Linked DNA regions of Oryctolagus cuniculus. The protein of the gene in region 6 interacts with the protein of the main gene of each other region in a pairwise test. Links are inferred from orthologs where the notes say so. Each region holds a gene or a part of one and is shown on either strand. Other genes may lie near its edges. The genes, in order: NME7; CDR2; keratin, type I cytoskeletal 15; DYDC1; MKRN3; TCHP; keratin, type I cytoskeletal 16.

The links.
Region 1: the proteins of TCHP (region 6) and NME7 interact in binary tests that used the Homo sapiens proteins (3 or more experiments, as listed by UniProt). The two-hybrid records come from large-scale screens. The link is inferred for Oryctolagus cuniculus from reciprocal best matches to the Homo sapiens genes TCHP and NME7.
Region 2: the proteins of TCHP (region 6) and CDR2 interact in binary tests that used the Homo sapiens proteins (3 or more experiments, as listed by UniProt). The two-hybrid records come from large-scale screens. The link is inferred for Oryctolagus cuniculus from reciprocal best matches to the Homo sapiens genes TCHP and CDR2.
Region 3: the proteins of TCHP (region 6) and keratin, type I cytoskeletal 15 interact in binary tests that used the Homo sapiens proteins (3 or more experiments, as listed by UniProt). The two-hybrid records come from large-scale screens. The link is inferred for Oryctolagus cuniculus from reciprocal best matches to the Homo sapiens genes TCHP and KRT15.
Region 4: the proteins of TCHP (region 6) and DYDC1 interact in binary tests that used the Homo sapiens proteins (3 or more experiments, as listed by UniProt). The two-hybrid records come from large-scale screens. The link is inferred for Oryctolagus cuniculus from reciprocal best matches to the Homo sapiens genes TCHP and DYDC1.
Region 5: the proteins of TCHP (region 6) and MKRN3 interact in binary tests that used the Homo sapiens proteins (3 or more experiments, as listed by UniProt). The two-hybrid records come from large-scale screens. The link is inferred for Oryctolagus cuniculus from reciprocal best matches to the Homo sapiens genes TCHP and MKRN3.
Region 7: the proteins of TCHP (region 6) and keratin, type I cytoskeletal 16 interact in binary tests that used the Homo sapiens proteins (3 or more experiments, as listed by UniProt). The link is inferred for Oryctolagus cuniculus from reciprocal best matches to the Homo sapiens genes TCHP and KRT16.

What each region holds. Positions count from the first base shown.
Region 1 is NC_091438.1:29,352,378-29,356,315, reverse strand, and holds the start of NME7 (nucleoside diphosphate kinase homolog 7), read right to left. Parts: upstream 2,801-3,938; 5' UTR 2,647-2,800; coding exon 2,644-2,646; intron 1-2,643. UniProt on the Homo sapiens protein: Possesses an intrinsic kinase activity. Displays 3'-5' exonuclease activity with a preference for single-stranded DNA. Does not seem to have nucleoside diphosphate kinase activity.
Region 2 is NC_091450.1:16,880,403-16,883,902, reverse strand, and holds part of CDR2 (cerebellar degeneration-related protein 2), read right to left. Parts: intron 2,262-3,500; coding exon 2,149-2,261; intron 1-2,148.
Region 3 is NC_091448.1:21,109,378-21,113,408, forward strand, and holds the start of keratin, type I cytoskeletal 15, read left to right. Parts: upstream 1-1,231; 5' UTR 1,232-1,307; coding exon 1,308-1,832; intron 1,833-2,673; coding exon 2,674-2,756; intron 2,757-2,857; coding exon 2,858-3,014; intron 3,015-3,299; coding exon 3,300-3,461; intron 3,462-3,559; coding exon 3,560-3,685; intron 3,686-3,788; coding exon 3,789-4,009; intron 4,010-4,031.
Region 4 is NC_091446.1:71,135,142-71,137,906, reverse strand, and holds part of DYDC1 (DPY30 domain-containing protein 1), read left to right. Parts: intron 1-303; coding exon 304-408; intron 409-2,765. UniProt on the Homo sapiens protein: Functions as part of axonemal radial spoke complexes that play an important part in the motility of sperm and cilia. Plays a crucial role during acrosome biogenesis.
Region 5 is NC_091443.1:13,380,130-13,384,353, reverse strand, and holds the start of MKRN3 (probable E3 ubiquitin-protein ligase makorin-3), read right to left. Parts: upstream 2,801-4,224; 5' UTR 2,680-2,800; coding exon 1,132-2,679; 3' UTR 1-1,131. UniProt on the Homo sapiens protein: E3 ubiquitin ligase catalyzing the covalent attachment of ubiquitin moieties onto substrate proteins.
Region 6 is NC_091452.1:18,803,129-18,806,628, reverse strand, and holds part of TCHP (trichoplein keratin filament-binding protein), read right to left. Parts: intron 3,176-3,500; coding exon 3,094-3,175; intron 1,747-3,093; coding exon 1,561-1,746; intron 1,027-1,560; coding exon 883-1,026; intron 198-882; coding exon 165-197; 3' UTR 1-164. UniProt on the Homo sapiens protein: Tumor suppressor which has the ability to inhibit cell growth and be pro-apoptotic during cell stress. Inhibits cell growth in bladder and prostate cancer cells by a down-regulation of HSPB1 by inhibiting its phosphorylation.
Region 7 is NC_091448.1:21,051,123-21,055,315, reverse strand, and holds the start of keratin, type I cytoskeletal 16, read right to left. Parts: upstream 2,801-4,193; 5' UTR 2,716-2,800; coding exon 2,197-2,715; intron 1,756-2,196; coding exon 1,673-1,755; intron 1,575-1,672; coding exon 1,418-1,574; intron 1,305-1,417; coding exon 1,143-1,304; intron 1,051-1,142; coding exon 925-1,050; intron 652-924; coding exon 431-651; intron 354-430; coding exon 307-353; intron 185-306; coding exon 69-184; 3' UTR 1-68. UniProt on the Homo sapiens protein: Epidermis-specific type I keratin that plays a key role in skin. Acts as a regulator of innate immunity in response to skin barrier breach: required for some inflammatory checkpoint for the skin barrier maintenance.

The DNA.
Region 1 (3,938 bases), on a different chromosome or scaffold from region 6:
GACAGCCACCATCCTCAGTTGCTGATGGAGAGACCCCATCTTCACAGCCATACAGACACCAGAGGCTAGACGGAGCACGGTTGATTGCTCTCCACCCTTCCTGATGAAGGACTGACATCCAACAGCATAGGAGAGATGCTGGATACAGAAAGAAATGTGATCATTTCACTCTAGCCAATTTTCGCCTCTTGTTAAATTCCTTTCTTTGCCACACATTAAGAACACTGTCATTAGATGAAAAGACAAATCTGTATGCTTCTGATTTTAACTGCTTTGCCTTTTAAAGTATATGTTGCTCTAAGTATATAGTATCTTGAACTTTGTGGATCATGACTCACAGTAATATGTTTTATGTCATAACCCAGTACATTCACAAAATATATACAATTTAAAACAAAAGTTCATGAAAGCTACCCTCACGGCATGCAGTAGATGTGGTAAGTTTCTATGTTAGTCTTCTTTGTTAATGCTGGCTACACACCACAAATCTACTTCATGACAGAATAATAGGTCACCTCCAACAGTTTGAGAAACATAAGCCTCGCCAAGTAGATGATATATAGCTAGACAGACAGACAACAGACAGTCTGGCATCTGCATACAGACTGTATCTCATGTTATTCTGCCCCATGTACCTCCCAAAGCAGCTAACCCTGCACCACCTCACAACCCAGTTTCTATTTTTGTACTCTATTAAACCATAAGTTGCTCAAATTTATGCTTGCCCCTTTCTGCCTCAGGAACTGTGATCTTGTTAGTGCACCCTGAAGATCCAGATCAGCACGTTTTGTATCATTTAGGTCTCAATACCAAAAGTCCTTTCTTCAGAAGGGCCTTCACTGACCATCTAATTGAAAGAATCACCAACCATGAAACCCCAGCCAGGATGGGAACAAAGAAGGCAGGCAGAGCACTTTACTGCTGTTTGCTCTTAGCATTGCCGGAAACTCTGAGTGAAAACAGCAAACAAAGCAAAAAGTAGCAGACAGGAAAAATAAACAGTATTTAATGAATGTCACTTTTCAGCTCCCTATGCCACTGCACAGGTCATTGAATTCTAAGCACTGATATTCTCTACCATTTGCCACATGACGGCTTTAACGATGCTCTAGCTGAGAAGTGAGGACTCTGTCCTGCAATCTCCTTCTCGTTCAGACCACTTACCTCATTCTTTCCTCTTCTCTTATGCATTCAGCAAACATTTGAGTGCCAAATATGCTCTAAGCAATAGCAGTGAACATAGTAAACATCTATACCTCTAACAGTTCACAGTTTAGGAAGGGTGACAAAGCTATAAACAAATAATTTCAAGTAAAGGTGGTATCTACAATAAAAGAAATGTGTACTATATACAGTGGTGACAAGAAAGAATAAACAGTTACCTCTTGTGGAGTGTAGGAAAAGCCATGACAGAAAGAGAGACACTTAAGCTGAGTCTTGGAAGGATCAATAGGAGTTTCATATGCAAGAAAAGGGAAAAGGGCAGAAGCAGTACCATGTGCCAAGCAGAGGGAAGAGACATACTGCCAGTTTGAAGTTGTCTGCTATGTTCAGTAGTAAGTAGCTAAAAGGCAAACGGCTAAAAGGAGTATCCAGGAAAGGGACAGCCAAGAAAGAAGCTAGAAAGGTAAGTGCTAGCTTGTGGAGGGCCTCTTGTGTGCCATTCCAAACTTTACTGTAGGAAACGGAAGTCTAGACTTTCAAAGAGGTGAGTAGCATTAACAGATGGGAACTTAGTAACTTCTTCCTTGTGGCAGAAAAAACGATAGATTAGAAAATTGCCAGACCAGACTGTAAAAGAAATGAATATAATAGCTAACGTAAAAATGAGGAAATTCTAAACAAAAATAATGACCAATTGAATATGGGAAATGTCAGAGAAAGGGGAATGTAGGATGTCACTGATTTCTAGTTTCAGTTATAATACAGTGGTATCATTAAATAACATGGTGAAAAACAGGAGAAACCAGGCAGAAAGACAGCAAAATCACTTATAGGCTTATTGAAAATGGAAACATGGAGCCTCATCCCTATTCATGCAAAAATTTAGGAGGGAAGCTCAAGCAAGTGAATTCTAGAAGCTCTCAAGTGATCCTGAAAGTTATTCCTGTTAAGCAGCACGGACATAGCAGGTAGTCAGCTGGATGCAAGCGAGCCGATCCACTCTACAAATATGATTAAGGGGCCTTTACAGAGTGTGGGGCAGTGCTCTGGCACTCCGCGGGGCAGACTCCAGGCCCTAGCGAGATTCGGGCCAGTGTTGCCACAGTCACCTACACACCACCATCTGCCTTTTAGGTGGAACGTTACTGTGAAGTCCACAAGCCTGAAAAACGCACTGATGAATAATGCATACCCAAAAGAGGAGGCTGGTTTGAAATAATATCTCACCTGAGGCTCCGCGTCTTAACCCTAAACTTTCTGTTGCCTTACTTTAAGGGCTTACGGTAATATTAGAGCGGAATTCAGGGCGCTGCAAGAAACAGAATGGGGAGAATGCAGGGACAGCCCACGGCAAATGGGGGAGAGAGAATGGGGAGAAGACAGGGTTGCGGACGCCTCCGAGGGCCCATCGACCCAACACTTGCGAAGCTGCGTAACCAGGAACCCGGAGCGGCTCTTCTGGTCGGCCTTAGCACTCACCATAGTTTCAGGATCTCAGCACGAGGAAGCCGAGTTGCCCCAGGAAGGCACCGCCATCCACACCATCATCCGGTTACTCTGGCAACAGGGCCCCGCCCCCTGCCGGACACCCCGGGAGACGTCAGCGGTCAGCCCCTTCGTCCCTAGTGGCTGGGAGTCCTCGCAGTGACGCCCAGCTCATTGACAGATCCGCCCCTTCACGCTGTCTCCTGGGGCGACAGGACGCCTCCCGCCTCTTGCCAGCATTTTCACTTCCGTTTGGTTGGCAGATGACCCGGAAGTTTAAGTTAACACGCGGCTAGGCGCCAAAGAGCGCACTATTTTATTTTGAAATAAACCCCTCTCCAGCTTTCCATTGATGAGGCGAGACGCTGTATCGTCTGCGTTACTTGAATTTAAACGCACCACAGACTGTGTGTTCTCGCCTCTGTGGGAAGAATATTCCGGAAGTGAAACCCTGGGTAATCGGAAGTGATCATGACTGACACAGCGGCTGGTTGTCCGGAAGGCCTGGGCGGGTCTGCTTCGGCATGGGCGAGGAGCGAATCCGGGAACCTGTAACGTGAAACCGCCGAAATAGAAAAGGAATCCCGAGGTAACTTAGACGATAGGCTTGTGTAACTCCGAGGTGACGCTGGAGAGGCGCGCGCGTCGGTCGGAGCTCGGTGGCCAGTGGCGTCGGGTATAGAGAAAGAGTGGACCGGGGAGGCTTGTTGTGACAGGAACGAAACTTGGCGTTGGAATCCCCGGGACAGCCACGCCTGCAGCCTTGGTTCCTGGGCATCCTGGGTATTTGCCGTCAGACTGGCTGCTCCTGTACGTTTCGCAGCCGGTCTTCAAAGCGCGGTTTCAGGACTCGGTACGCCGGGTGCCTGTTTTTAGAGCCGTGGAATATAAGTGGAAGAGGGTTTGTGACTGTTGAGGAACCTGTCTTGGGAGGCCTTAGACTCACTGATCGTTTTTGAAGCCGGGAGTGACCTGTTCTGTTCATCACATGAGTGCCACCCTCCTTGGCATGTTTTCCGGTAAATCTGAGTATACTCTAAGGTTGTGCATACCTTTCCGAAAGTATCTGTTCCATGTGTATTTCTCTCTGTTGTTAGAAGCAACATCATTTAATTTTTTTTTTTTTTTGACAGACCTAGTGACAGAGAGTTAGAGAGAGAAATATCTTCCATCCCCCAGTTCGCTCCCCAGATAGCCTCAACGGCATGAGCTGAGCCATCAAAAGCCGGAGATGCTTCTAGGTCCCGCACGTGGGTGCAGGGTCCACTGCCTTCCAGGCGCGCTAGCAG
Region 2 (3,500 bases), on a different chromosome or scaffold from region 6:
TGGTTCACCCCTGCAAATGCCTTCTACAGCCAGGGCTGAGCCAGGCCAAAGCCAGGAACCTGGAACCCCATCTGGTTCTCCCACGTGGACGGCGTGGGATCACTTCTGTTGCCCGACAGGGTGCATCAGCTGGAAGCTGGACTGGAGGCAGAATGGCTGGGACTTACACTGGCATTCTGATGTGGGATGTGGGCATTTGAAGGCACTTTAACCCACTGCACAACAGTGCTCTCCCCTCTATGCTCTTTTGATGTACAGTGTGTTAAACAGGGTTCCTGGAGACTTCAGTATCGTTAGAAGCTAGGCCTTCCTAGAATTAGGTATGTTTTAGTCACATCACTAGCTGTATCCATAAATCCTGCTGAAGGGGAAGACCCACTGTATACACCTTAATTAGGCTACTGTGTAAAATTAATGGATATTGAGATTATAGATTTCTCCTTGTTTTGATCATGGATTTATCTGTATCCAAAAGTGGAACTTTGTGTAATGTGGTTGCTTCAAGGCAAGGACTGTATAATTCTACTTGGAATTCCCAGCACCTGGTTCAGGAAATCAGCATGTAGTAAGTACATACTGATCCTCATGAACTGCTTCCCTGTTCTAAGGTCTGTTAGTCGTGGGTCTACTGCACCAGCTGGGGGAGGGGGACTGTAATTTAGCCTGAGGCTTTTGTTGGGAGTTGTGTGGAGAAGGAAGTTCTGATGGGACAACTGCTTGATTAAGATCCACAATTATGGGGGGCTGGCACCATGGCTCATTTGGTTAATACTCCGCCTGCAGCGCCAGTATCCCATATGGATGCCGGGTTCTAGTCCCGGTTGCTCCTTTTCCAGTCCAGCTCTGCTGTAGCCCAGGAAGGCAATGGAGGATGGCCCAAGTGCTTGGGCGCCTCCACCCGCATGGGAGACCAGGAGGAAGCACCAGGCTCCTGGCTTCAGATCAGCATAGCTCGGCTGTAGCAGCCATTTGTGGGGTGAACCAACGGAAGGAAGACCTTTCTCTCTGTCTCTTTTGCTAACTCTGTCAAAAAAAAAAAAAAAAAAAGATCCACAATTATGTTCTTTACAGTCAAGTGGCCTACACACAATTGGGTCCCTGAATGGGACCAATTATAAGATAGCAGCACCTTCCATTTTAAAGCCTTAGTCTAGGATCTTTCATTTTAGTTTGTTTAAACTATGTACAACATTTTAATTTAAAAAAAGCCATCAAAAATGTAAGTAAATCAAGATCACAGCAAGGAGAAAAGAAACACATATTTGATGACTAATTCTCTGAATGGTGTAATGAGTTTAAACTTATTATGGAACAAAGTACTGTATGACTTTTTAACTAAACCCAAATTCAGGATGGAGTTTGGTAGTTGCGGGGGGAGGGAGAAACCACCAAAGAAGGGTGTAAGGGCCTCCAGAGTGTGGGAAGTTTTCTCTCTAAAGCTGGGTGGTGAGTACATGGGTGCTCACTGTATTATTCTTTCTGTACATCTACAGTAGTGCATAATTCATTTTTAAAAGAAAACAATGAAAACTAAGTGTAACATTCACAGCTTCATTTTGCTTTGCATACTGGCAAGTCTCAAGCCATGTACTTCTACAATACTTTGCCAAGGGCAGAGAGAGAAATCTCCTTCATCATAGCAGACCCATGTGTTGGGAAAACCTGAAGAAAGAACATCTGCTGGCGCCGCGGCTCAACAGGCTAATCCTCCGCCTAGCGGCGCCGGCACACCAGGTTCTAGTCCCAGTTGCCCCTCTTCCAGGCCAGCTCTCTGCTGTGGCCCGGGAAGGCAGTGGAGGATGGCCCAAGTGCTTGGGCCCTGCACCCCATGGGAGACCAGGTGAAGCACCTGGCTCCTGCCTTCAGATCAGCGCGGTGCGCTGGTTGCAGCAGCCATTAGAGGGTGAACCAACGGCAAAGGAAGACCTTTCTCTCTCTCTCTCTCTCTGTCCACTCTGCCTGTCAAAAAAAAAACAAAACAAAAAAAACAAACAAACAAAAAAAAAAAACCAACCACATCTTTGAGGGTTATTCTCGAAAAGTATGCATCTGAAATTAAATGCTGCTTCCAACCGCAAGGGTGGTTTTAGCAGTCTACGACTAGTTCAAGCTACACCTCCAGGCTAACTCTGCTGCCGAGTCAGTTACCTCAATTTCCTGTAACTGCTCCTGATTGGTTGTGTACATCTGCTGAAGCGAATCCTCCAACTCTGTGTTCCGATCCAGCAGTGTCTTCCCGAGCTCAGCAGCAAGCTGGAGATCTAGCAGAGAAGAATCTTGGCGTAATTCAAATGCTCTCACTTCAGCCTTTCATACAACCCAGTCCTTGAAATAAGAATGAACCATGTACCCACATAGCTTAAGTCAGATCCCAGTAGAAGGTGAAACTGCACAGAAAGACACCCGAGTTCCATTTAAAATTCAATTGAACTGGGTCCTTCTAGCACGTAAAGTACACTCTTATGTACCCTTATTTGTAAGAAATGAAAAACAGTCATCTGCTTTATGGAAGTAGTCATTAAGAATGATGACTGCGGGGCTAACACCCCGCATGGGCCCCTTCACTTCTAATCCAGCTCCCTGCTAAAGGCCTGAGAAAAGCTGTGGAGAACAGCCCAAGTGCTTGGGCCCCTGCCACCAGTGTGGGAGACCCAAATGAGATTCCTGGCTCCTGGCTCTGGCCTGGCCCAGTGCTTGGCCACTGCGGTCCTCTGGGTAGTGAAACAGCAGATGGAAGATCTCTGTCTCTCCCTCACTCTATAACTTTCAAAATAAATAAATCTTGTTTCAATTTTTTTAAAGATAAATTTATTTATTTGAAAGTCAGACTTACACAGAGAGAGAAGGAAAGGCAGAGAGAGAGGACTTCCATCCCCTGGTTCACTCCTCAATTGGCCACAATGGCCAGAGCTGTGCCAATCTGAAGCCAGGAATTTCCTTTGGGTCTTCCCATGTGGTTGCAGGGGCCCAAGGACTTAAACCATTTCTGCTGCTTTCCCAGGCCATAGCAGAGATCGGAAGTGGAGCAGCTGAGACTTGAACCAGTACCCATATGGGATGCCAGCACTGCAGGCTATGCCACAGCACCAGCCCCTAAATAAATCTTTAAAACAACAACACTGTTTCAGGTCTCTCATTTTTTCAACTTCTCTTCACATTCTTCAAGATCAGCACACTAGATACACAAAACAATCTATGACTTTTTTAAAGATTCATTTTATTTATTTGAAAGGCAGATAGAGAGAGAAAGAGAGGGAGAATATGAATGAATCAATCTTCCATCCTCTGATTTACTCCCCAGATGGCTGGGGTTTGCATGGAACTCCACTGGGTCTCCCACATGGTCATCATCTGCTGCTTTCTCAGGCACATTAGCAGGGAGCTGGACTGAAAGCAGAAAGCTGGGACTCAGGGGCCGCCTGCAGTGCCAGCATCCCATATGGGTGCCAGTTTGAGTCCCAGCTGCTCCACTTCTGATCCAGCTCTCTGCTATGGCCTGG
Region 3 (4,031 bases), on a different chromosome or scaffold from region 6:
AAGCTGGCCCAAGCGGCATCAGTAGAGACAGGATTTGAACCCAGGCCCGAGGGATTCCAGAGCCCCGTCCACCCCACCACACTGCAGCCTTGGCCCAGGAAACCCCCCTCCTCCTGAGTCTCCCTCTCTTGTCTTGCTCGCTCTCTGCTCCCAGACTTTCTGTTCATTCTGGAGTCGGGGGCCAGAGGCTGAGCCACACCTGCACGTTGCATTGACCACAGTGTCAGGTGGCCCCAACTTGGAGGGCAGAGGGGATGGTTGTCCTCTCTGAGTGTTTGACTTGACCTTCAACATCTCTGGCCAACCAGCCTCCCCACGTCTTTGCTCTTGGCAATGTTCAGGCTGGTTGAGACTTCTGGCTCCGGCCCTCCTCAGCTCTGCAGTGCCCGACAGGACAAACGGGGGTTAATCTGTCCCTGCTAGGCAGCGACATGCCTCTCCAGGAGAAGGCAGGGGCTTTCTGGAATGTGCCCCGGCCTTATCTGCAGAGGTTTGCCCCAACGCGTCCCGGGAGCAAGCAGAGGTTCAGTGACATGTGCAGTTGGCAGGTGGCGGCACCATCAATCAGCCCCCTGTCAGGGCTCAGCCTGCTGGGCTTTTGCAAGTGTGCCAAGGCCATGGAGGCTGGGGTGAACTGGAGGAGAAGGAGAGATCCTTGGGTTGGAGGGAGGGAGGCAGAGGAACCCCAGGGAAAGGACAGATGCTGGTCGCCTCAGTTGGATCAAGTCTTCCTCTCCTGTCCTCAGCCTGTCTCCCGGGGCCCCACAGCTCATGTACCAGGTCTGTGAGCACAGAGCAGGGTTTGGGAAGTACAGTCCCCACTGAGAGTGGGGAGCCGTCTGTGTCGGAGCAAGGCTCCCAGGGCAGGAGATGGTGGTGGCCAGGGTCTGCCCATGCTGTGGGTCCTTGGGGTGGGAGAAACCCACCGAAGGCACAGCTGGCTGGGACTTTGCTCCCTGCTGCTCTCTCTCCTTTCTCCTGGAGTAGAGAGATGGACCCGTAATCCAAGTGTTAAAATCATGGCCTGGGGCAAAACACCATTCATTCTGAATCATCTTTTGTTGCATTAAAAAAAAAAAAAACCTGCAAGGAGCCACGTGGAGGTGTGCAGGCAGCTGTGTTTGTCGGGAGGGCAGAGGAGCTGGCTCGGCTCTGGGGGAGGAGACATGGTCCTGCACCCCCCACCCCCCACCCCCAGGGATATATAAGGAGCTCCAGGCTGGGGAGACAGGCGCTGTGCTCTGGTCCCAGCCCAGATACCTGCCCGCATACCCAGTGTTGGCTGAGACCTCACCGGCTGCCTGACCATGGCTACCACATTTCTGCAAACTTCTTCCTCCACCTTTGGGGGAGGCTCTACCCGAGGGGGCTCCCTCCGGGCTGGGGGAGGTGGCTTTGGTGGGGGTAGTCTTTATGGGGGAGGTGGCTTTGGTGGGGGGAGTCTTTATGGGGGAGGTGGGAGTCGCAGCATCTCGGCTTCTTCTGCTAGGTTTGTCTCTTCGGGGTCAGGAGGGGGCTATGGGGGCGGCATGAGCTGCGGCTTTGGTGGAGCAGCCGGTGCTGGTTTTGGTGGCGGCTTCGGAGGGGGGTTTGGCGGTGGCTTTGGTGACTTTGGTGGTGGCGACGGCGGCCTCCTCTCTGTCAACGAGAAGGTGACCATGCAGAACCTCAATGACCGCCTGGCCTCCTACCTGGACAAGGTGCGCGCCCTGGAGGAGGCCAACGGCGAGCTGGAGGTGAAGATCCGGGACTGGTACCAGAAGCAGAGCCCGAGCAGCCCGGAGCGCGACTACAGCCAATACTACAAGACCATTGAGGAGCTCCGGGACAAGGTGAGCCCCAGGTGACAGCAGGAGGGGAGCAGGTGCCAGGTGCCCTGCACGTGTCTGCTTCTGCCTGGGTGATGACTGCGTTATGTGCAACCTCGGCAGAGTGGCCGTGCACCTGCGTTCCAGGAGCACGCGCTGGCGCACATCTGCTCACCTTGGCAGTGTGGGCAGGAGGGCTCTTGGGAATCCCGTTAGGTCCAACAGGGGCACAGGTAGGGGCAATTATGGAGAGCGACTCACCCTCCCTGTCCCACACGCCCTGCAGGAGTCTGCTCAAAGTGTTCCTTTACCTCCTTGGCAAGAATGGTGCTGGGGTGTAACCGCAGGAGCCCCGAGTGCCAGGACCTCCCGCTGCGCCCTTCCAGGGGGCTTTGGTGCCAAGAACACTGCCAGGACTTGGGGGACCTGGGAGCTCTTTCCAGGCTCTGCCACTGTCTCCCTCACTGGCACTGGTTTCCTCCCCTCTAAAACGCCTTCTCGGCCCCCTCCACGTTCCGTAGACGCACAGCTGTGTCAAGGAGTGTAGGGGGCAGTGGCCGTGAGCTGTGCCCAGAGGGGCCGGTGCAGGAGGACCCTGGGGAGGGCTACGGCTGGAGCCCACTGCACCTCACTCTAGCACATTCTTGGCCAGCCACATCCCACGGGGTGGGGAGGGGGGGTAGGGTCCCAGGCCATGCCCTGGAGCCGAGGAGGGCAGCACCTCAGGTGAGGCTGCGCCAAGGGCCCCAGGGGCTTCCCTTGGTGGTGCCAACCTGGAGGTGGTGAGCGAGGGGTTGGCGGGTGGCAGGAGGGCAGCAGGGGAGGGAGGAATCCCTTAGGCATCCGAGCTCCTGGTCTCCTGCAGATCCTGGCCGCCACCATCGACAACTCCCGGGTCATCCTGGAGATCGACAACGCCAGGCTGGCTGCCGACGACTTCAGGCTCAAGTGCACACCTGCCTCCCCCGCCCCGCCCACCCCGCGTTCTCCTCTTTGCTGGGCCTTGCTCTCCCTCCGACTCAGCCGCCCGGATCCCTCTCTCTCCTCAGGTATGAGAACGAGGTTGCCCTGCGCCAGAGCGTGGAGGCCGACATCAACGGGCTGCGCAGGGTGCTGGACGAGTTGACCCTGGCCAGGACCGACCTGGAGGCGCAGATCGAGGGCCTGACTGAAGAGCTGGCCTACATGAAGAAGAACCACGAGGAGGTGCGACTGGGGGTGGTGGTGGTGGTGGGCGTGGCGGGGGGGGCTGCTGCTTCCTTTGTCACAGCTGGTAGAGTGCTTAGTGGCACAGAGGCCCTCTGGTCCTCTAGTGTGAACTGCTGACCTCCTGTGTCCTCCCTGGGTGGCGCCTGGGGCAGGCAGGAGATCCTCACGAGCAGTGGCGGGCGTGGTGAAGGCCAAGGTGACCGTGTGAGTGAGGGGCACAGCCACGGTGGGCATGCGGGACCCCAGACTCTCGGCTCTCTCTTCGGCTCCTCCACCCTGCAGGAGATGAAGGAGTTCAGCAACCAGCTGGCCGGCCAGGTCAATGTGGAGATGGATGCGGCGCCGGGTGTGGACCTGAGCCGCATGCTGGCCGAGATGAGGGAGCAGTACGAGGCCATGGCGGAGAAGAACCGGCGGGACGCCGAGGCCTGGTTCTTCAGCAAGGTGGGCCTGCCCTGCCCCACCCTGCCCGGCCAGGCCCGGCTCCCCAGGTCTCGCAGGAGGCCCCCGGGGCTCACTTCTCTCCTGCGTGTGACTCACAGACCGAGGAGCTGAATAAGGAGGTGGCCTCCAACACAGAGCTGCTTCAGAGCAGCAAGACGGAGATCACAGACCTGAGACGCACCATGCAGGGGCTGGAGATCGAGCTGCAGTCCCAGCTCAGCATGGTAGGGCCGCCTGCCCTCCACTGCCCGCCGCCTGCCGCCGGCCCGCCTCCACCGGCCAGGGCCCTGGGCGAGTTCTTCCCCACCTGATGTGTCGCTCCTGCAGAAAGCCGGGCTGGAGAACTCGCTGGCGGAGGTGGAGTGCCGATACGCCACGCAGCTGCAGCAGATCCAGGGGCTCGTGGGCAGCCTGGAGGCCCAGCTGGGCGAGCTGCGCTGCGAGATGGAGCAGCAGAACCAGGAGTACAACAGGCTGCTGGACATCAAGTCGCGGCTGGAGCAGGAGATCGCCACCTACCGCAGCCTGCTCGAGGGCCAGGACGCCAAGTAGGGCAGGGATGCGGAGCAG
Region 4 (2,765 bases), on a different chromosome or scaffold from region 6:
GCACTGCAGGCCAGGGCATTCACCCACTGTGCCACAGTGCCAGCCCTGTTGTTTGTATTTTTAAAGAGAGTATCCTGAGATATTCACCATATTTCTTATATATTTTAAATTTGTGCATGTACTTTTATGTTTTAGCAATTATTACTAGAATTCCATTGTCATTAAGAGGTATTGGTTAATTGTTTTAAATAATAATGCTGAATTTTGATGTTGTAATTCAGAAATTTTTTACAAAAATTGAAAGAAAAGTAATATATTAATTTTGAAGTGATTTAAAAGTAAAAATGATTTTTTTGAGTGCAGGAATCACTCCTAGACTCGGGCAAAACCCTAGCTGAAATTAGCGATCGATATGGAGCACCAAATTTGAGCAGAGTGGAAGAACTTGATGAACCAATGCTGTCTGATGTAAGCATCTAAATCTTAAAAACAATGCTTTCCCCCTTTGGTAAAGTCTAGCGCAAACGAGGCCAAGCTTTGCTGGCAAATGGATTTTTGCTTCATAGGAAGAAAACCAGCTGCCCGGTTGCTGACCATAGTCCTAACTGGCATTTCGCCCTTTTGCTAACTAACGTGTAACTGGCATATTCAAATCTGTGTTTATCTATATACCTGTATCTATGGCTGAGTCATGGTTGTCTGCATATTTGGAGTTAGACTTTGGAAAAATTCAAAGCCTCTTCAAAATATGTATTTAAAATTATTTTGTGAAATACATCATATTCAATTTCAGGGGAGACTATTTTGGTTTACAGTAGCAAAGCCCAGAACAAATAAAATCCTAATGCGAGTGTATGCTTCATGGCATGTGCCTGCCACTGTGGCAGATGCAGTCGTGACTGTGGTAGATATTTCTTTGTGGAGTTTGCCGTCTAGAGGGGAAACAGACAGTTAAATCGGACGCGTATTTAATGGTGCTTACTGGAGTGACAAGACGATGTGCTGTCCAAACCAGCCTGCTTTTGAGAACAAAAGGAGCCCGATCAGCAGGTGTGAACCAGCGCTGTCCTGGCAGGGAGGTGCGTTTGGCTCCTGTAGTCAGTGTGCACTAAGTGGGAAAGGCAGAGGCGTGGAGGAGCCTTGGTCAGCGAGGACTCGGGAGGGAAGTCAGTGATTCGTAGCTCAGTGCTGAGAGCACAGAAGGTGTAGAGAGTCGGGGAGGAGAGACTGCAGAGGTGAGGAAGGGAGGCGTCAGGGCTCAGACTGTAAAAGAACTTGCAGCTCCTGCTCCGAGGCTTATATTTTACTGTATAGGGGTTGATATGGTCAGAACTGCATTCTATTTTATTTTTCCTGGCGGTTTAAATTAATCTTTTCTGCATTTTTAAATTTCTTTATAATGACAATTTACTTTTATCATCAAGAAGAGATGTTCCACCTGCTAGGACAACAGTTACCTTAATAGTTCCAAGCTTCATTGGATTTTTGACAATATCATGGTAGTTATGGAGTCCCAAAGCATTAGCATCAACAGAGATCAGAGAAGGGCCATGCATATGATAAGTGCCCCTTTAAAAACCTCACTCCTGCAGGAGAAGCACCTGGCTCCTGGCTCCTGCCATCGGATCAGCGCGGTGCGCCGGCCGCAGCGCGCCGGCCGCGGCGGCCATTGGAGGGTGAACCAACGGCAAAAGGAAGACCTTTCTCTCTGTCTCTCTCTCTCACTGTCCACTCTGCCTGTCAAAAACAAAAAAAAAAAAACAACAACAACAAAAAAAAACAAAAAAACCTCACTCCGGTGCCTCAATTGTTCGGTTGCTTTAACACTCTTTAAAGCTTCACATTGCTGCTGAGAGTCCGGCAAAATATCCTTCAGCACAGTTTCTTTTGTCTGTGGCATTCCTACTGATTTTTTTTTTCCTGTAAGTTTTGGAGAAGATGCACTATTGGCTTTAACTACTGAAGCTGTGGAGTTGTAATATCTGCTTTTCTCTGGACACCCCCTGTAACTTGGGCCACGATTTGTGAGCTAGAAGTGGGTGGAGCTCCTTGCGTGGTGTGTCGGGGAGAAGTAGATGTCTGGAAACAGAGGGAGTCCTGTGCTGCTTGGCTACCTTTTCTGTTGCTTGGGGGATTTTTTCCTTTAATAGAAGCCACTGCTGCGTTCTGCTGAGTGCCTTGCCTTACTCTGGCCTTGCGGACCACAACCGGTTCTTCTGTGGCGTTGGAGACACTTTCTGCACCAAAGCTGCTCTAGAGCTTGTGCCGTAAGAGCAGTGTCGTCTCCAGGCTTGTCATATAAATAACAATTTTTTTTTTAAATTTTTTGACAGGCAGAGTGGACAGTGTGAGAGAGAGACAGAGAGAAAGGTCTTCCTTTTGCCGTTGGTTCACCCTCCAATGGCCGCCACGGTCGGTGCACCACACTGATCCGAAGGCAGGAGCCAGGTGCTTCTCCTGGTCTCCCATGGGGTGCAGGGCCCAAGCACGTGGGCCATCCTCCACTGCACTCCCGGGCCACAGCAGAGAGCTGGCCTGGAAGAGGGGCAACCGGGACAGAATCCAGCGCCCTGACCGGGACTAGAACCCGGTGTGCCGGCGCCGCAAGGCGGAGGATTAGCCTGTTGAGCCGCGGTGCCAGCATAAATAACAATTTGAGAACATGGCATTGGTTCTCCAAATGCTTCTTCTTCTTTTTTAAAATTTATTTGACAGGTAGAGTTGTAGACAGTGAGAGAGAGAGAGAGAGACAAAGAGAAAGGTGTTCCTTCCATTGGTTCACTCCGCAAATGGCCGCTACGGCCGGTGCTGCGCCAATCCGAAGC
Region 5 (4,224 bases), on a different chromosome or scaffold from region 6:
ATTCTTTTATCTTTCCAATCTTATATCCTAACTAGTTTTAGTATTTTATTCTATTTTACATGTTGTATGCTTATTACCTTTATTTTGATAAATTTATGAAAAGCCCGTTTTCAAAGTATAAAAATAATATTTAAAAAATGAAAATGAACAACTGTATGTCTGAGCTCAGGATTTTATGTTATAATGAATGAGCTGTTGGCTCTACTGCATGGAAGTACACATTTCTGTATTTATAACAGCACAGTGAGGTCATAGGAATTACCAATGTCATGTTTCATATATCCTTTAAGACTTGTATCTGTTACACTTGGCATTACACTTGAACAACAGTTTTCATTAGGTGCTAAAAAGTGACATCTGTGCAAGGGAAAGATTATTCACACAGCAGCCAAGCCTGCTATCCCTTGACCTCAGCTTTCATCTCTGCATTTATTTTATTATGCAAACATATACATCACGATGTATATTTTATATAAATTTTCCAATACAGAGCTAATATACACAAATATGCATATATAATATATCACTTTTAAGCACATACTTCCAAATATAAATAAAATAACTTCACATCAAGTTGAACAGGATAAAAACATGTAAACATTTGCACCTGGTTTTGTTCAAGTAAAACACGAAATCACAAAGTAACCACAAGTTAACAAGTGCACTTTAAGAGATGCCAGAAGGAGCAGTGATGTAAACAAACAAAAACAAGCAAGGCCCTGCGAGTGTCCACTTCTTAAGGCTACTGTAGCAAAAAGCTTCCAGTTAAGACTTCCCTTTCACCCTGTCACATTTGTTCTTGAGGGACTTCAAAATGAGTGTAGAAATTCTGTAAACACTAGACTAGGACTGAGTGAACTTTGTTGAAAAACAGACATGACAAAAACCCCACAAAGCAACAGTCATATTAGCTCCACCAAACAGTAACTTTAAGGATTCTTTACTATTTTTTAACACATGAAACCACCATTACCCTAGGGGAAAGATTCGGGGCATAGACAAGAAAACAGAGAAACACTGCATAAAAGTCGCCACCACAGCCCCTGAAAGTGACAGGCATGTCAATAAAGGGAAAACAGCCAACAGCAGACGACAAAGCCCCAGCAGACTTGATCAGAGTGTGGCAGGATACTACAGATTCAAGTTGAAATACTCTTCCAGCTGATAATGAAGCAAGTCCCACTGCTCCTCAGAGAAGGGGAACTCGTTTCTCAGTGAAAGAAACCGCTTAAACAACAGACTGGCCAGCCGAAGCGTGACAAGCTCCTTTTTACTGCTTTTAAAGAGCAGGCTGCCCTCTCCCAGCTGCACAGGCTGCGAAAGTTGATGCCAGTATGCGGCCGACGGTCCACCACCCCGCCCCTGAGGCTCCTCTCCCTGGCCCTCAGGGTATGAATGCTTGTAAAAGCAGTGCTCTCCAAACGGGCAGTGGCCCCTGCCTTCGGCAAAATATCTGCAAGGCTTGTTGCTCAACGCCTCCTTGTACTGCTGAATAAGTCTCTGCTTCTCTTCCTCCTCCTCCACCCAGAACTCACTGGGAATGACAAAGTTGGAGGTGACTCTGCACTGTGGGCAGGACTTGACGATCCTGTTCTCAAAGTGTCTGGCACGTCTCCACCTACGGATACACTTAAGACAGAAGGGGTGGTTGCAGTTGGAAAGGATGCCAAAGCGGCGGTCGCTGGGGTTGACTTTGTCATAGACAACCTCCATGCAGATGCCACACACCTTATCCATACTGCGCTGCACGGCAAACGAGAGCTCCATATCCTTCTCGTGTGCTTCGACGCAGGCCTTTCTATGGTCTGCCCTCTGAGCGGCATCCAAGGGGTGCAAGGCCTGTAGCCCACACATGTCACATATCTCTCCGTGGAGGTACATACAGCTCTCCCCACGAAAGCACTGTCCCCTGGCAGCGTGAGGGCAAAGTTGCATCCCCATGCCCACAGCCATCTGCTGCCCCATGCCCACAGCCATCTGCTCTCTCTCAGTCACCGAGCTCTGTAGAGGAGCCTCGGGGACAGAAGCGACCCTGCGGCCCCGGTAGGGCTGCCCGGGAACAAACTCAACGGCCTCTTCCCAGCCTTCTACACCTGATCCTCCGACAGCCCCTTGACCAGCGCATTCCAACTCGGCTTCGAAGCGACCCCTTTCAGCAGCCGAGCCAATCAGAGGCAAGGAGCTTGAGGATGCAGCAGGGGCGGCTTCCGCCACTTCCTGAGTTGGGGGCTGGCTGGGCGCAGCCATGCTGGGGCCTCTGTCTGCAGAGGCCCGGGGCGGTGCGCCATGGCCCTCTCGGGCCACCTGCCTGCCAGAAAGGTCGTGAGAGTAGCGACAGTTCTCCCCCTCCTTGCACAGCCCATGCAGATAATACCTGCAGACGACTTGCTTTGTCCAGCTGCCAGTGCTCCGGCTCGGCAGGTGACTGGGCCTGGCCCCTCCCCTTGCGGCCTGGACGTGCCTCAGGCCCACCATCCGCAGATGGGCTGGGCTGGGAGCCACACGGAGAGGGACTAGGCCCAAGGCCGCGCGAGCAGGGGCTGTGTCTGGAGCCACAGATTCCCCAGAGGTCTCACACTCAGGGAGGCTGGGCCCAGATGCACCCTCCCCTGCTGCCTCAGCCCCTGCCTGGGCCCCAGATGCCTCCTGGGCACCAGAGGGAGCTGCAGGCTCTTCCATGGCAGCTTCTTCTCCCAGAAACGATTCGGGAACTTCCCCGGTGCTGTCTCCTTTTGGGCTTGAGCCCTGGAGCTCGGGACGGTCACGGAGGTGTCTTTGGGGGAAGTGTGCACCTTTTTTTCCTTTCCCCCACTCTCTGTTCCCTGTGACTGTGTGTTCCTACCTTCTTTCCCCTGCAGGCAGCGTGGCGGACACTTCCTGTGGTGGCACCGGCAGCGCGCGGCGCCGGGTCTCCACGGCCGACCAATCTGACAGCTCCTTTGTTCACACAGGCAAAGGCGGGCTCCGCGCCCCCTCCTCTGGCGTCGCTCCCTGCTCTGCTGCTTTCCCGCAGACCCCAAGCCCCCCTCCCACACTGTCTCCTCTGGCAGATGAGGTTTTAATTCCATGTCTTTAGTTTCTGCCATGCACTTCTGATTATTTGTCAAACGTGTCTGCGTAAAGAAAGTTCACGATCCTCGCTGCTTCTCCACGTGCTGATGGGCTAATCCTGCAGTTTCTGAAGCATGCCCTGCGTGGATTTTACACCGCCTTTGTCTGCGCACCGCGCATTGTCTCCACTGTGGTGTCCCGCTGCCCCCTGGCTGCCCCTGCGGGGGCTTTGTGCGCTGCGCGGCGGCCACCAGACATCGTTTCTTGGGGTCTTTGTTTGCTGCAGGGTCTGCCTGGGCTGCTGGAGGAAACGCGAGCAGGGAGCACGTGTGGCTGAGGCTGTCAGCCCCGGCCGAGGGCGTCCTTTGTGGGACTTGCAAGGCTCCTGCCCCCGGCGCGACCCGGCTTTTCTTCCCGGCTGGTTTAATTCTTGGTGGCCTTTGTTCCCTCCGCCCAGCGAGCGAGGCTGAGGCTGCGGGGTCAGCACAGCTTTTCAGGCTCGGCCGCTGCCCTGACGGTGAGAGCTGCTTTCTTCCCTTTCCTTTCACAGTCACTGTCTTTGTGCTGCTGCTTTGCTCAGGGGCGCGCGGCTGTCTGCTGAATGTTACAGGAGAGCTCTCTGCGTTTCTAAGGAGGTTATGCTCCCTCTCCCTTTAATGCCCTGAATGTGATCATTAGCACTTCCAGCATTTCAAACATTTGATTTATTCTTTGTCTCATAATTAATCCTTCCGTGTTAGGATGTGCTGACGAATTGTATTTGCTAGAATAAGTTTCTTAGAGGGAAATTTTTATAACTTAAATTTCCATTCTAAAGTGAAAAAGTCTGAATATTTATGACACATTTATCCATGTCATCAAATTAAATCCTAATTAAGTAAATATAAATTTGTACCAAATTACTTGAGAAAAAACGAACAAAGTTCGAATAACCCAGACTAGAAATTTTTAAAGTGATATCACTAATTAACAAAAGACATTAAAAAAATCATGAAAGGATATCAGGAACAAGATTAAGTCATTCTTTTAAATTTATTAGATATGGGCATATGTCTAGAACATATCAATAAAAATAAGAAAAGCATAAGAAATATGCATATAAATCTATAAATTACACATGGAATCATATAATCCTCTAATTTAAAGCTTTTAAAATATTTCCTCCAAAAATAT
Region 6 (3,500 bases):
TTGAGTAAGAGCAGGGAAGGGTCTCTGGCTGGGAGCTGCACGTCCCCACAGCTCCGTGCCTGGGCCCCGGTGCCCCGGCCCCCACAGAACCTGGTGCAGCTGCTGGGCGGCTCTGCGTCGAGGCTCCAGCACCGTTGCTCTCCGGGCGTCTGGCACCAGCCGCGTCAGTCCCAGGCAATTCTGGGGTGTCCGCGAGGCTGAGGAACAAGGAAGCAGACATGGGGGCGGTGGAAGAGCACCGCAAGTCAGAGCGAAGAGCACGACACGAACGGCTCTTCACGTCCAGCTGGAAGCTCTGCCCGACACGGAAACAGGCTCCCTGCGGTGGTTCCGTAAAGCACCAGCCCTGACACACTCCTGCGCGCCCTGGGAAGCCCCGTCCCCAGACACTCGCTGTGCACGGCCAGGGGAGCTCCCTGCGGTGGCCTCCCCGCTCGCTCTGTTCTGCTTGGCTTTGGGACTCCCTGACCCGGAAGGGCCAGCCTCCTCCCCTCACAGCTCATGACCTCGAGAAGGCACCGTGGGGCACCAGGCAGCTTTCCTGTCTCACCAGTCGGGAGCCTGCCCCTGCTGTCACCTCTCCCCAGCTGTGGCCACCGCCCTTCTCAGATTGCTCTTGGCCCCCAGACAGGCTGGACAGGCTGGACAGGCACGCAGCTTGGCGGCGGGGTATCAGAGTCTGGGCTGCAGTGGCAGGAGCCAAAAAGCGTGAAGGCTGTTGGAGGCCCAACGAAGGACTGAAACAGACCCTGCGCCGAGGTTCTCTACTAGTCAGGAGGAGGCAAACACAAGAGGAGCGCCCAGACAGAACCGAGACGCTGCACTGCACAGCACAGCACAGCTCAGCGGGGCTGTGGACACGCCGCGGAGGCGCGCTCCTACCTTGGGCCGGTAGCCACGCTCGGCCATCATCTTCGCCTCTTGCCGCAGCAAGGCGTCCGACAGCTGCTCTGCCTGCCTGGCCTCCTCCTGCTCCTCCTCCTCCTGCTGGTCAGCCTCCCGTGCCTGCAGCTGGCGCTCTGCCACCTAGGCCCAAGAGCAAAGTCACCCCAAGGCAAGGCCCCGGGGCACAGCCCTGCGCCTGCTCAGCAGGGGAGGCTGCGGGCCCAGCTGGGCTGGAGGACCAGAGCTCTAAGGAGCAGGGGCGGCAGGTGCCAGGAAATGGGAGGGGCCCCTGGGGACTGGAAAAGGCTTGGCCAGCAGCCGTCCGGGTCTTATACAAAGCTCCACACACGGCTGTGTGTTGGGCAGAATATTCCGTGTTCCACCTCAGGTTGTGGAATTGAATAAATGGAGAACTGTGGCCCAAGGAGCCACCTGTCCGCAGGTGCGGACAGGACGGAGGGGACAGACAGGCCAGCCGTGCCCACCAGAGGCGAAGGACCCTGTGTGGGGTGCGCCAGGGCTTCAGCTGCAGTACCCAGGGCCACAGCGCACTGCACTCTCCAACACGAGCGAGCTGTGCGGAAAGCGCACCAGCCCTCAGGCCTGCCCTGCAGCGAGGCAAGGATGCGTCCCCTGCAGAGGCTGCCTCCCGCCCAGGGCCCTGGCTCAGCCCACCTGGGCTTCCAGCTCCTGCTTCCTGGCCGACTTCTGTTCTTCACTCTGCCCCTGCTCCCGGCGAGCCGACTCCCTCGCCTCCTCCAGACTGCGAATGAGTTGCTCCCTGTGCTTTAAGGATTCCTCTTGCGCCCGTCGGTTTCGTTCAATCTTTTCTTGTATTTGCTGTTGTCTTCCCGCCAGGACCTGGCCTCGGCAGGAAGGAAGAAGCAGACTTGAGAACAAGCCTTGGCCAGGCAGCTCCGCAGGCGACCTAACCCTCAGCCTCGGGTCTAAAGCCCGACAGGACGGCCAGGCCCCACTCAGACTCGGGCAGAGTGAGACTCGTTCCCTAGCAGTGGGGAAGCCCACAAGCCCCGCAGATGGCCACAGGGGGTGGGGGGGCCTCGGCTCATGGGGTGACATCCCCCACTCAAGGCCCCAGAGCAGCGTGATGTCTTGCACCAGCCTCGGACGGCCTTGGGGATCAGAGAGGCGCCTGGGAAGCCACCGACACACCCTACGGTCACGCTCTCGGGAGGGAACCTGCAAAGCAGCCACGACCAGGACCCAGGCTGGAGCGAGGAGAATCAGCGGCCACTGGGGACACCTGGTATTCACAAGAGTGGGAAATCACCAACGGAGACCCCAGTTCCCACCGCCAGGCACACGGGACTCCCTGCTCTAAGCCACTCGGAGCTCTCGGCACACAGGTGACACAGACCACCCAGCCACTGGGCGTCTTCCACGTGTGCTCTCCAGACCATGGCTGGTTCCCCGTGCTGAGGGAGAAATCTCAATGTGGAAAAGCCCAAAACACTCCGGGCAGCATTGCTTACAGTGGCTCAGAATGAGAACAAACTAGAACGCACCAGACAGCGATGGAAAGGCACGCTGGGAGGCCCTCAAGAGGACGCGTGGTAACAATCTGGCCGTGACACGGCATTTACACACAGAGCAGTACGTGGAAACGCTCGCCTCGAACGGCACAGTATAATAGGCACCGGCACACACGGAAGCAGGAGTTGAAAGAAAGATGCCAGTGGCTATGCCGAAGACAAGGCTCGGGTGCTGTCAGTTTTACTTTCTGCAAGTTCGTTCTTTTTTTTTTTTTTTTGATAGGCAGAGTGGACAGTGAGAGAGACAGAGAGAAAGGTCTTCCTTTGCCGTTGGTTCACCCTCCCACGGCTGCTGCGGCCAGTGCACCGCGCTGATCCGAAGGCAGGAGCCAGGTGCTTCCTCCTGGTCTCCCACGCGGGTGCAGGGCCCAAGCACTTGGGCCATCCTCCACTGCACTCCCGGGCCACAGCAGAGAGCTGGCCTGGAAGAGGGGCAACCGGGACAGAATCCGGTGCCCCGACCAGGACAAGAACCCGGGGCGCCGGTGCCTAGTGAGCCGCGGTGCTGGCCTGCAAGTTCTTTCAACAAGAGTTTCCAAGCCCACGTAAGATAACTGGAAGAGACTGTCCCCAGCAGCGCCGGTGGGATCAGTGCTCCACGGTGGACTCCAGACACCTGCCTGGGGCCCCGGGCCTGGAGGAGATGCTGGCTTACCTCGCTCATGAGCCTGTCGCGTGCACTCCGCTCTCGGGCCCACTCGGCCTCTCTCTTTTCCCACATCTCCTTGGCCTCCTCCCTGGGCAAACACGAAACAGGTGGCAGAGGCTCTGCACCACTGCTGCTGGCCGGCAGTAAGCCAGAGAGCACACAGGGCCCAGCAACAGGCTCCGGAGGACCAACCTTCCCGTCAGCTTGTCCCCCAAGCTCTGCAAACCTTCCCGGAAGGACTGCCCTCGGAATCTGAGGCTACCCCTTCCCAATACCTCATCTCCTAAAAGCACTGCAGGCAGCTTCTACAGCAGCCCCTGGAGTGATGGAGACCACCAGGCCTGGGCGGGAGGAAGGCACTGCCAGGGCCTGAGCCCTGTGGCCGTGCACTGGGGTCATGGCCAGTGACCTCC
Region 7 (4,193 bases), on a different chromosome or scaffold from region 6:
GGGTGACAGGTCGGGTCCGGCCTCTAGGGGGCGAGGCCGGCGCGGGCAGGGGCTCCGGCAGAGGCGGCTCAGTTCCGGGAGCTCTGGCTCTGGCTCTGGCTCTGGCTGAAGCTGACCGAGCCCTGCTCCTTGAGGATGGGCCGGGTCTGGCGAGCGGCAGAGGTCGAGGATGAGGAAGAGAAGACTGTGGGAGAGATGGGACCTGAGCCGGCTGCAGGGCAGCGGGGACAGAGGGCTGGGGGCGCTGGGGACGGGGCCTGGCCCCCATCCCCCAGGGAACAGGCAGGGGGCCAGTCCTCAGCTTACCATCCCGAGAAGAGTAGGATTGACCTGATGCTTGCTGGGAGGAGAGGCTGTGGGCGAGAAAAGGGGGCGTTAGATGCGCAGGGACCTGGGGGGAGGGGCTGGGGTGGGCCGGGCCCGCACTCACTGGGCGTCCTCGCCCTCCAGCAGGCGGCGGTAGGTGGCGATCTCCTGCTCCAGCCGCGTCTTCACGTCCAGCAGGATCTGGTACTCCTGGCTCTGCTGCTCCATCTCGCAGCGCAGCTGTGCCAGCTGCTCCTCCACGCCGCCAATCAGCCCCTGGATCTGGGCCAGCTGCATGCAGTAGCGGCCTTTGGTCTCCTCCAGGCTGTTCTCCAGGGATGCTTTCTGCAAGAGAGAGAGAGAGAACGAATGTTTGCAGATCACGGCCCTGTCCCTCCAGGTCTTGGAGCACGTTTCCCTAGAGGTGCACGGACTTGGGCTCCCAGCTGGGTAGTGATGGCCCAGAAAACATGGAGAAAAGCTACTGCACCACTCTGGGCCTTGATGTCTCCATCTGGATAATGGGTACCACAATCCCTCCAGTCCCGTTCCAGGGAGGAGGGAGAGGGCAGTGTGGAGGGGTGGCCCTGGCGGTGACTCGGGGTTGCAGCTTCGTACCATGCTGAGCTGGGACTGCAGCTCGATCTCCAGGCCCTGGAACACCCTGCGTAGCTCGGTCACCTCGCTGCGGCCGCTCTGGATCAGTTCGCTGTTAGAGGCCACTTCCTTGTTCAGCTCCTCGGTCTGAGAGGCAAGAGAGGACCAGCGAGTGTGAGGCACTCCGGGACCCCCCTGGCTGGGGCGTCCTGCGGGGGCGCCGAGGCCCCCGGCCCCACCTTGCTCAGGAACCAGGCCTCGGCGTCTCTGCGGTTCTTCTCCGCCATCCGCTCGTACTGGTCACGCATCTCGTTGAGGATGCGGCTCAGGTCCACGCCGGGAGCAGCGTCCATCTCCACGCTGATGTCCCCGCCAGTCTGACCCCGCAGGGCAAGCATCTCCTAGAAGGGGTGGCAGGCGACACTCAGCTCAGCGGACCCCGCTCCTGGCTCCAGGTGGACCTGGGAACTCCACCAATCCAAGCTCGTACCCCCGAAGCCAGCCGCAACCCTACCTCCTCGTGGTTCTTCTTCATGTAGGCCAGCTCCTCCTTCAGGCCCTCGATCTGCGCCTCCAGGTCGGTCCTGGCCAGGGTCAGCTCGTCCAGCACCCTGCGCAGCCCGTTGATGTCGGCCTCCACGCTCTGGCGCAGGTTCAGCTCGTGCTCATATCTGGCAGGACAGATGGCGGAGTCTCAGGTTCCATCCTTGACATCTTTTGGGTGGACGGCCCACTCCCCAGACCCGCAGCCCACCCCCAGGGTGCTCACTTGGTCCTGAAGTCGTCAGCCGCCAGCCTGGCGTTGTCGATCTGCAGGATGGGCTGTGCATTCTCAAGGGTGGCCGAGATGATCTGGAGCGGGGGTGAACGGACGGGAGGCCTGGTCAGCCTTGGACCATGCCGCTCAAGGGTGAGGGGCAGAGGGGCAAAAGGAGCCTCCCCGGGGGTCACCAGTGGGCAGGTCAGGCCCTCCACTCCCCTGGCCAGAGAGGGGTGCCTTGTCCACCCATGTCAGAGTGGTAGGAGTGCACCTGTACCCCACGCCTCCCACCACTGCCACCCTGAGCTGGGAAGCCTGAGAAGCTGAGTTCTGCTACAGTGCAGGGAACGCTTGCAGGGAATCCAAGACTCAGGCCCAACCCCAGCTCCAACACAGAAATGCTCAAAAGGGACCCTCTGCTACCACTTCCCTGGGTGCCCTGGCACTCCCCTGAAGCACCTCGGTCTCCCTGTTTGCTACACAGAGGTGTCCTAAAGACCCCTCTTAGGGCTGCAGCCCCCAGCACCGCCCACCTTGCTCCGCAGCTCCTCGATGGTCCTGAAGTAGGGGCTGTAGTCTTTGACCTCAGTGGGCCGCTGCTTCTGGTACCAGTCCCGGATCTTCACCTCCAGCTCGGTGTTGGCCTCCTCCAGGGCGCGCACCTTGTCCAGGTAGGAGGCCAGGCGGTCGTTGAGGTTCTGCATGGTGATCTTCTCGTTGCCAGAGAGGAGGCCACCATCAGCACCACCAAAACCAGCACCAAAACCAGCACCGAAGCCAGCACCAAGGCCAGCACCGTATCCTCCACCATAGGCGCTACCCAGGGCGCCACCAAAGCCGCTGCTGCTGCTGAAGCCGCCACCATAGCCACCCCCGATCCCACAGGCTCCCCCAGAGGAGAAGCGGGAGGAGGAGACAGACAGGCCCCCGTAGGCGCTGGGAGCCCGGCAGGATCCTCCGGCCAGGACGGAGGACATGCGGCTGGAGCCGCCTCCGATGCCACAGGTGCCCTTCATGGAGCTGGACGTGAACTGGCGGCTGCAGGAGGTCATGGTGCCGAGAGGTGGTGCGAGAGCGAGGAGCCGGCTGAGAAGAGCGAGGTGCTGGGGAGGCTGAGAGAGGATGCTGTGGCTGCCTCAGCCCCAGATGCTTTATAGGCGCCCGGGAAGGCGGGGCCCTGCCAACTGCTGACTCCAGGCTCCCTGGGGATTTCGTCACATGGCCCGGCCCAACTTCCCACTCCAGATTATTCAGCTGGGACCGACTCACTTCGCTGTGTGCCGGTTCGAGTTCCCACCCAGATCGGGGGGTGTGGGGCTGGGAGAAAAATGCACAAACACAAATGTGTTGTGACTCAGGCTGGGCGGCCAGAAACCCGGCTCCCGTTCCTGGAGCCCCCGGGGCTGGCAGGGCCTGGGCACAGTTCACTTTGTGACAGCCGCGTCCTAGTGGGCTGTGAGTCAGAGGGACTGCCGGCCCCCCCACCCCGCGCCACGGGTGACAGCCTTCACTTAGAGATGTCAGCGATGCCTTCCTGGGGCGTCCTGGGCTGCAGCTAGGGGGCTGGCTGGGCTGTGGCTGCACTGTGCTTTGCTTGCTGTGTGCCCTGAGGCCCCTCCCCTCCCTTCCCGGGGCCTGAGTGATTAAGGAGTCCTCTCCAGTCTCTTTCCCCTGCTGGGTCTACTCCCTGTTTGAGAGACCACCTGTGAGGTGCAGAGCAGGCCCTGCAGAGCCAGTCGGGGAGGTGCTCTCCTGTTCTGGCCCCTGCTAGCTGCACAGCACAGGCAGGTCCATCAGCCCCACCAAGCCTCAGTTTTCTCATCTGTAAAAGGGGAAGACACAGCACCAGCCACAGAGGACCACCCCCCAGCCCTGCCCCTCAGCCTTCATTTCCAGTCCAGCTGCCCCCTCAAGCTCACCGCTACAGTCTGGGGTCCCCCCCACACCTCCAGGCAGGACCCTGCACCCACACGCCGCCCCCAGCATATGGCCTCTCCACTCCCCCTGCTGCCCTCACCTAATCCCGGCCACCCACCTGCACGGTGGGAGGCAGGCCCTGTCTTGCACTAATGCTGCATGTGACCCCTGACCCTGCCAGGGACTTCAGAGCCCCCGCACAGACACAGCCCCAGCTCTTTCTTCTCACGTCCCCAGTTCCCAAGACATTCAGTCATTCAGCCTTAGTCTCTGGGCCCCACCTGGCTTGGGCATGTCTCAGGGTGCCTGACATGTGCCACTCAGTTCTGCAAGCCGGTGTCACTCCTGCCGCCAGCTCAGACCAGGGCGCTGGGACACTCACAGGAGAGCTCACAGGATGCCCAGTAGCATGGACCTGACACTGGAGCCCGGCCCGCCTGCTCCCCCAGCCCGGGCCCACTCCATTGTCCTGCACCACCTTCCCTCCATGTCTCAGCACCCCCCATCTTATTATTTATTTATTTATTTATTTATTTATTTATTTATAATTCAGAGGCTGACAGAGGTCTTCCATCTACTGGTTCACTCCACACTGCCCGCAACAGCCAGGGCT